2 linked regions of the Oryctolagus cuniculus genome follow. The protein of the gene in region 1 purifies or fractionates together with the protein of each later gene. This does not show direct contact. Links are inferred from orthologs where the notes say so. Each region holds a gene or a part of one and is shown in the gene's direction. Other genes may lie near its edges.

What was found.
Region 2: the proteins of ELOA (region 1) and LEO1 purify together in Homo sapiens (affinity purification with mass spectrometry; 3 studies listed by BioGRID and IntAct, with this or other methods). This does not show direct contact. The link is inferred for Oryctolagus cuniculus from reciprocal best matches to the Homo sapiens genes ELOA and LEO1.

Annotation. Positions count from the first base shown.
Region 1 is NC_091438.1:147,226,709-147,230,067, reverse strand, and holds the end of ELOA (elongin-A), read left to right. Parts: intron 1-119; coding exon 120-231; intron 232-1,190; coding exon 1,191-1,357; intron 1,358-2,352; coding exon 2,353-2,414; 3' UTR 2,415-2,726; downstream 2,727-3,359. UniProt on the Homo sapiens protein: SIII, also known as elongin, is a general transcription elongation factor that increases the RNA polymerase II transcription elongation past template-encoded arresting sites.
Region 2 is NC_091443.1:74,670,920-74,675,191, reverse strand, and holds the start of LEO1 (RNA polymerase-associated protein LEO1), read left to right. Parts: upstream 1-1,430; 5' UTR 1,431-1,583; coding exon 1,584-1,641; intron 1,642-4,272. UniProt on the Homo sapiens protein: Component of the PAF1 complex (PAF1C) which has multiple functions during transcription by RNA polymerase II and is implicated in regulation of development and maintenance of embryonic stem cell pluripotency.

The DNA of each region.
Region 1 (3,359 bases):
GCCTTGGGGTTTTCTGGGTTGATGAACAACCTCTAGCTCCGGGGACCTGGACCGCTGCAGATGGCGTCTCTGCTCAAGGAGGCGCATGGGCAGGTGGGCAGCTCCATGTTCCTCCACAGGCAGACAAGCAAAGATGGCCTTCGTCAACTCTGTGGCCAAGCCGCCTCGCGACGTCCGAAGGAGGCAGGAGAAGTTCGGAACGGGAGGAGCAGTTGTCGCTGACAGAATCAAGTAAGCGCTCTGTTCTTGCTTGGGGAAGAGAGCTGGGAGGTCGTCTTCCCCACTGCGAGGGAGCCGTGGGTGCGGGAAGCAACTCGCCCATGGTGGGGATGGCCCTCGGCCAGCTCAACGCTCTGCCCCCCGAGCCTGGACTCCTGGACAGCAGCATAAGGCAGATTGTTTTCCTGTGCCTTAGGGCTGTCAGGATTAACCTGGACACAGGACCCGGCACAGCGGAAGCACTCACTGGCTTTCCTTTTCCCTGTTTAAGCAAAATTATTGCATCTAAGCCACATAGACATTTTCTCTTTATTTAAAAAATTTTTTAAAAATTTTATTTATTGGAGAGGTAGTTACAGAGAAGGGGAAAGACAGAGAGAGAGAGAGGTCTTCTATGCGCTGGTTCACTCCCTAGATGGCTGCAGCAGCCTGGCAGAAGCTTAGCCTGCTGTGCCACAGTGTGGCCCCTACATGAGCATTTTCAGAAGAGAGTCCGGAACCTAAGAAATGAAAGGAGATGAAGCCAGCGTTGTGGCACAGCGGGTAAAGCAGCTGCCTGTGGTGCCTGCATCTCGTGTGGATGCTGGTTCGAGTCTTGGTTGCTCTACTTCCCACCTGGCTCCCTGCTAAAACACCTGGGAAAGCAGTGGAAGATGGCCCAGATGCTTGGGTGCCTACACCCATGGGAGAGGCCAGCCCCAGCCATTGCAGCCGTATGGGAAGTGAACCAGCGGGTGGAAGATCAATCTCTCTCTCTCTGACATTCAAATATTATCTTCATTTAAAAAAAGAAACAGTGAGAGTTGAGGCTCTCATTCATTCTGAAAGGCTGATGCAGCAGCCATCCCTGTGCCGCCACCAGAATCCAGGGCGCCCGCATCCGCCGGTCAGAGCCGCAGGAGGAACCACACTGTCCGTGCTGAGGGCAGATCTCTTCTGCTCGTGACTGCCCAGCTGTGTTCTTGTTACAGGATTAAGCCCGCCCCGTACACCGGCGGAAGCAGCCACACCTCCGGCAGCAACAGCTTTAACGCCAGCCCCGAGGAGCCGGCCTACGACGGCCCGAGCACCAGCAGTGCCCACCTGGCGCCAGTGGTCAGCACTGTTTCCTACGATCCTCGCAAGCCAACTGTGAAGAGTGAGTAACTCGGGTTCCTGCTGAGCCCCCTGCATGCAGCGACTGTTGCATTGCGTCCTGTGTGTGTGTGTGTGGGGGGGGGGGTGTTGCTTCTGAAGGACGCCTCCCAGGCGCTGGGCTGCACGGCGGCCCCTCCTCCCCACCCCGCCATGTCGGCGATGGTGTGAGATCGTAGTATTGGAGGTAACATGAGCCTGTTTCTCTGGGGAAGTGGTCGTTACTACCGACAGCTAAGTGTAACATCTTACTTGAGTCTTATAACCTTCTAAATATTTTTTTTCTCTTTTTGGATCTATTTTTTACTTTATTAGCTTCATTACCATAGACCAGCAGTAGTCTGTGATAGAACCGTTTTTCTGCCAAGGGCCATTTGGATATGTATAACATTGTTCGCTGGTCCCATGCAGAATTATCAACCCACAAATCAGCCTGCTGTAGATGTATTGAATCTTGAGTGCCGCCTGAGGTTGCCTTGGCAAGGCCAGCCCAAAGGAGCTGTGGGCTTTGCACGGCCCACGGGTGCATGCACGATCCCCAGGATCCCCAAGGGAGTCCTGACTTAAGTATTTTGTGTTCTTGGCTGGGCCCAAGCATCAGGTTCACCTGTTGCGAGTCAGGAGTTTGTGCGGCTCATCTCGGACTTGGACAGCATGAGGGACGGCGGGAGTGCTGGTCACTGATTGGACATCTGCGAGGCCACGTTAGATTACTGCCGAGTCTGGCAAGGAGGGAACCCCAGCTCTGCCCTGACACAGTGACCGTGGGCCCTGCGGGGGCCGGGGTGAGAGCGGCGGCCCCGCCCACAGGTCCTCAGCGAGTGCCGCTCTGTGCTGTCGCCTCTGTTGCGGTGTCAGCAGATTCACTGATGGCATCCGTCTGTCTGCCGGTGCACAGCGGAAAGGGGAAAGGCTTGGCGCTGCTCGCAGACCCCGGTGGTGCCGGCGCGTGTCTGCGCCGCCACAGATCTAAAGCGACTGCCCGGTTTCTTTCTACAGAAATTGCCCCGATGATGGCCAAGACGATAAAAGCTTTCAAGAACAGATTCTCCCGACGATAAAACTGAGGGCCCTCCTGGGAGCTGGAATTGTTGGGGGCAGGAAGAGAACAGTGGAGGCCGGGGGTTGGAACTTCCGAAGGAGACCAGGAGCCTTGCGTGGTGAAGACGGTGGTCCCTGAGCGCGGGCGATGCCCGTGCGCCCCGGCCCGGCCCCACTGCCTGCAGCACACTTCAGGATTCTGGAGGAGACGTGAAGCCTCAGTGCACTGAGGATTTTAAGGTCAATTATACTTTTGTTGTTAATTAGCATCTTTGTAAACTATAAGACATAGTTTTAATTAATAAATATTGCTCCCAGATTGTATTTATATTCCCCCCCCCAGCTTTTTTTTTTTTTTTTTTTTTTTTTTGTTTGGTCCTCTACCACTCACTTAGCCTTTTTCCCCCGGGTTCTTTATTAGAGTTCATGAAAAGTGCAGAACAAGCTATTTCCCTGTTCCAGCTCGGCTCTGCTGGGCGGACTCCGGTCCGGAGGGAGGCCTGTGTGGGACGAGGAGTGCCAGGGAGCGAGCCTTCCCGTGGGCCAGGACCGCTCCACGTTCCCGCGCCGCGGCATCTCTCACTCGGTCACTAGTGTTCATTTAGGGAGGCTGTCGGCCAGGGCGCCCGCTGCCCTCCATCCACTTTGTCAGTTACCGCTGTGTTTCCTGGGTTCTGTTTGTTTTGCGGCTCACCAGAGGGCACAGAACCTTGGGAGATGAATTTGTACCGAATCCCAGCATTTTGATAATTTCCAATTTCTGATTCAAAATTTCAGATTTTATTTATTTTTTTCCCCACTTTTCTATCTTTCCTGCTGTCCCTCGGCATGGGGGGAAAACACCGACTTGGCAGGGCTTCTCATAGCTCTGGATACGACTTGAGAGTTTTTAAAGCCAGCACTTTAATCCCTTATTCTCTATGAATTGCAACCAGAAGCCAGTGGTTTTACAAGTCGTGATGCTT
Region 2 (4,272 bases), on another chromosome or scaffold:
TTAGGAAACCAAAGCTGAGGGGCCGGCGCTGTGGGGCAGTAGGTTAATCCTCTGCCTGTGGCGCCGGCATCCCATATGGATGCCGGTTCTAGTCCTGGGTGCTCCTCTTCTAATCCAGCTCTCTGCTATGGCCTGGGAAAGCAGTGGAGGATGGTCCAAGTCCTTGGGCCCCTACACCCACATGGGAGACCCAGAAGAAGCTCCTGGCTCCTGGCTTCAGATCAGTGCAGCTCTGGCTGTTGTGGCCATGGAGAGTGAACCAGGGGAAGGAAGACCTCTCTCTCTGTCTCTTCCTCTCACTCTCTGTAACTCTACCTCTCAAATAAATAAATTCTAAAAAAAAAAAAAAAAGAAAAAGAAAAAGAAAGAAAGAAACCAAAACTGAAATAGGGTAATAGGAAAACTCAGTAGGAAAAGAAAATAGTGTTCTGTGAAATATTTGTTTCAATATCATGTGTTTTGGTGTGCTTTCCATCACTGACAAAATACCCAAGAAAACGAATTTCACAAAACAGTACAGGTGTAATAAAATGCTCACAGTTCCGCAGGTTCAAATCCAGCATCTGGCAGGCGTCACTGGTTCGCACTCCGGTGCTGGTGCTCTTCCGGGCACTGACGGAGCAGCGCAGAGCTTCACCGGCAAGAAGGCGCGTGTGACTCCGTGCACCGGCGTGTAACACAGCCACCAGGACTTATTCGCGGGGGCTTCACCTTCATGTCCAGTCCAATCCAACTACCTCTAAGGTCCCGCTTCTGAAAGCTGTGATTGCTTTGTTTCCACCCTTTTAGTATCGTTCACCTATGACATGAGGTTTCAAATCCTGTGTGAGTTCAAACCATAGCGTTATACGTAAACAGAGCTGCAAAGGAACAAGCTATGGCTCTTGCGAAGCTCTTCTAAAGCTGCAGTCATCAAGTGTGGTCCCACGAAGCCCGTTTCGGGGCATCTCAGAAAGTCGCCCCTTGCCAATTACTACCTCTCTAGCTAAACTCGGATTTTCTTCATCTGCTACCACCAAAACATTTCTAAGCAACTGACTTAGAAGCAGAAATAATTCAGCTGTGTATTTTATGCTGGATATTAAAGATTTCTTCAAAACTTTAAAACCATTCCACTCGTCTAAAACTTTAGAAAAGAAGTCATTTAAAACTTACCCCAAACCCACTATTTAACGTTTATTATCTTGAAACGAGTTTAGCACTTTTAAAATGTCTGCTTTAAATACTAATACGGTAAGTAGCCATGGGTATAAACCATCTAAAACAAAAGTTCTTTGGAATTCTCCACAATATTTAAGAGGGTGAGAAGAGGTCTGGGAAACAAAGGACTTTGGGCCTGATTCCGGATGGCCCGGGGGTCTTTCCCCAAAGCACCGCCCGCTCCGCGGGCACGCCCACCCCGTGAGAACAGACCCCGACGGAGGAACCGCGCCACCCAACCGTGTGGACGCGGAAACTAGGTCATAGAGGGAAAGGAGTCTTTTAAGCATATCTTTGCGACACTGTCGCGTTTCGTTAGTTCCGTGCCGTAAAGAACGGCGTGGGGCCGCCCCCAGCCGAGGCTGCAGCGGACGTGAGCGGCAATGGCGGATATGGAGGATCTGTTCGGGAGTGACGCCGACAGCGATGCGGAGCGTAAAGGTGGGGTGGGCCACGATCGGCAGGCGGGGTGCGCGGCGGGGCCCGGCCTGGCGTCCGGTTCCGGTCCGCGGGCGAGAGGTGGTGCTTCCTCTGCTCCTGCCCCAGCGCCCCCTGCACTCCCGGAGGTGCCACCCTCCCCTGGCGGGCGGGCTGGTCTAGGCAGACACACGCAAGAGTCTGTGCCTTGCGGTTCTGGGTGACCGTGGAGCATGCGGTGCCTGCCTGGGAGCACGGAGAGCAAAAGGGCGCGGGGCAAGGTGGGGGCGCGGGCCAGCCTGCGCAGCCCGGAACCTTGGGGTCCTGCTGTCCTGCGGTGCAGAACAAGGGCTGTTTGTGAATGAATGGGGTGAGGTGTTCAGGACCGTGGGGACGGGGTGGGTGATTTACAGAGGGGCTCGGAATGCTCTGTTAACGACGCCGGAGCCTGGCGCTGGCCGGCAGCTCGAGATGTCTGGATGCGGAGTCTGAGCAGCATACGGGGATGGAGCTACTCACCAGCGCTTTGCACTGGAGACATTGTGTCCCGTGAGCGCCAGTGCAGACACTCCAGGGTTCTGGAGTCTGCGGTATTAGGTTGGAGAGCTTATGGGGCTCGTGTGGGAGGAGGAGTGGTGCGGGATGTGTTGATGAAATGAATGCATGGATGTGTGTTTATGGTGCGTCAAGTGTTTCTGGCACAGAGACTATGGATGTTTGAGTTTGAGATATGAATAGGAGTTATTTGAAGTTGAAAAACGCCCGCAAAACCAAATTTTTGCAGCCCTACAGGCTCAAAGTAGCCGTCTTTAACAAAGGGTATTGTTGTGGTTTTTCCTTTACCAAATTTTCTCCTCCATTTTGTGCAACTACTGTTTTGTTGTAGAACCTTCCAAAACCCGGGTCTACTTGGAGTGGTGGAAGAAAGTAGGTATTCACTTGCAAAGCACAGAGCAAGGAGCTGGGCCTCCTTGAAGGGTGGGGGTAAAGGTGGTACAGATTGAAGCTGGAGTTGAGAGGTGAGGGTCAAGCTTGAGTGCAGGTCCCTGGTTGGTCTGCAGCGCTGGTGGCCTGGCGTTGATCAGTGATCCCATGCTCTGTGAGCCTCAGTCAGTCAGGGGGTGTAAACTTCTTGTTCTGGGCCTGGGGTTCCTGGCAAAACCCTCAAGACCCATCTTCCAGATGTTATCTGTAGGGTTAATACATGATCTCAGGGTCCTGTGATCAAGGACCTTTGTGGGGGCTGGCTGCACCCCTCCCTCAATGCAGTGAGCTAAATTTTGGTAAGAGGTTGATTGCTCAGCAGGGCAAGCTGAGAGACAGTGGGAGACCAGGAGCTCACTCACAGGGTCTAGCGTCTGCACCCAAGGCACTGACTGGATAGAGGTTTGGTTTCAGTATTTTCGTAGTTTGTAGTGAAGGGAGCATTAGGTGGAGGCCTGGAACTACATTGTAGTGTGAAGGCTGTGGCCGGGTGGGCATCCAGGAGGTTCCCGTCTGTGCATCTGGAAGGAGAGAGCACTGTATGCTCACTCCTCTTCCACTACCTTCGTTGTTGTTTCCCTGTTGTTTTTCCTTGTCTACGTCCCTTTTACCTTTCAAAGCACAGTTCTGTCTGAACCCTGCCCTGACTCCCTTTCATGAAGTTGTTCATTCATTCAATAAGTATTTATTGATCCCCTGTTACGTTCCAGCTACCCTGCTAGCTGTTGGGAATATGATGAAAAAGTAGTCTTCCCTTCCTCACCAGCTAATTTATGAGCTTAATGCACATTTGATGGATACAAGCAATATTTTAGTAAGGTTTAACCCTACAGCACAAAAAAATTGTGTATCTTAAATACACTAGGTCTTGAGAAAGGCCACGGGAGCAGGCATCTAGCCTAGCAGTTAAGACATGAACATCCCACATCAGAGGATCTGGGTTTGATTCCTGACTCCAGTCCTGACTGGCTTACTGCCAGTGCAGGTCCTGTGAGGCGGCAGTGAGGATGGCTCAAGTAATCGGGTTCCTGCCACCCATGTCGGTAACCTGGATCGAGTTCCTTGCTTCCAGCTCCTGTACCCCTCCCCTCCTCTCCCTGGGCTGTTGGGTATATTTGGAGAGGAACCAGCAAGTGGGAGTGTTCTCCCTCTGTCTCCTATATGGTTTGCAAATATTATTTTCCATCATTTGGGTTGTTTTTTCACTTTCTTTTTAAAAGATTTATTTATTTATTTATTCATTTATTTATTTGAAAGGCAGAGTGAGAGGAGAGAATCTTTCATCTGCTGGTTCACTCCCCAAATAGCCACAGTGGCCAGGGCTGGTCCAGGCCGAAGCTAGGAGCTTGGAACTCCATTTGGGTTTCCTACATTGGCAGGAGGGAACTGTGTTACCTGGACCATTTTCCATTGCTTTGCCAAGACACATTAGCAGGGAGGTGGATTGGAAGTGGAGACTCAAGCACCATTGCTTTTTTTTTTTTTTTTTTTTGACAGAGTGGACAGTGAGAGAGACAGAGAGAAAGGTCTTCCTTTGCCGTTGGTTCACCCTCCAATGGCTGCTGCGGCCGGTGCGCTGTGCTGATCAGAAGCCAGGAGCCAGGTGCTTCTCCTGATCTCCCATGTGGCACCATTGCTTTTTAATGATGTTTATTGTGTAAAAACCTTGTT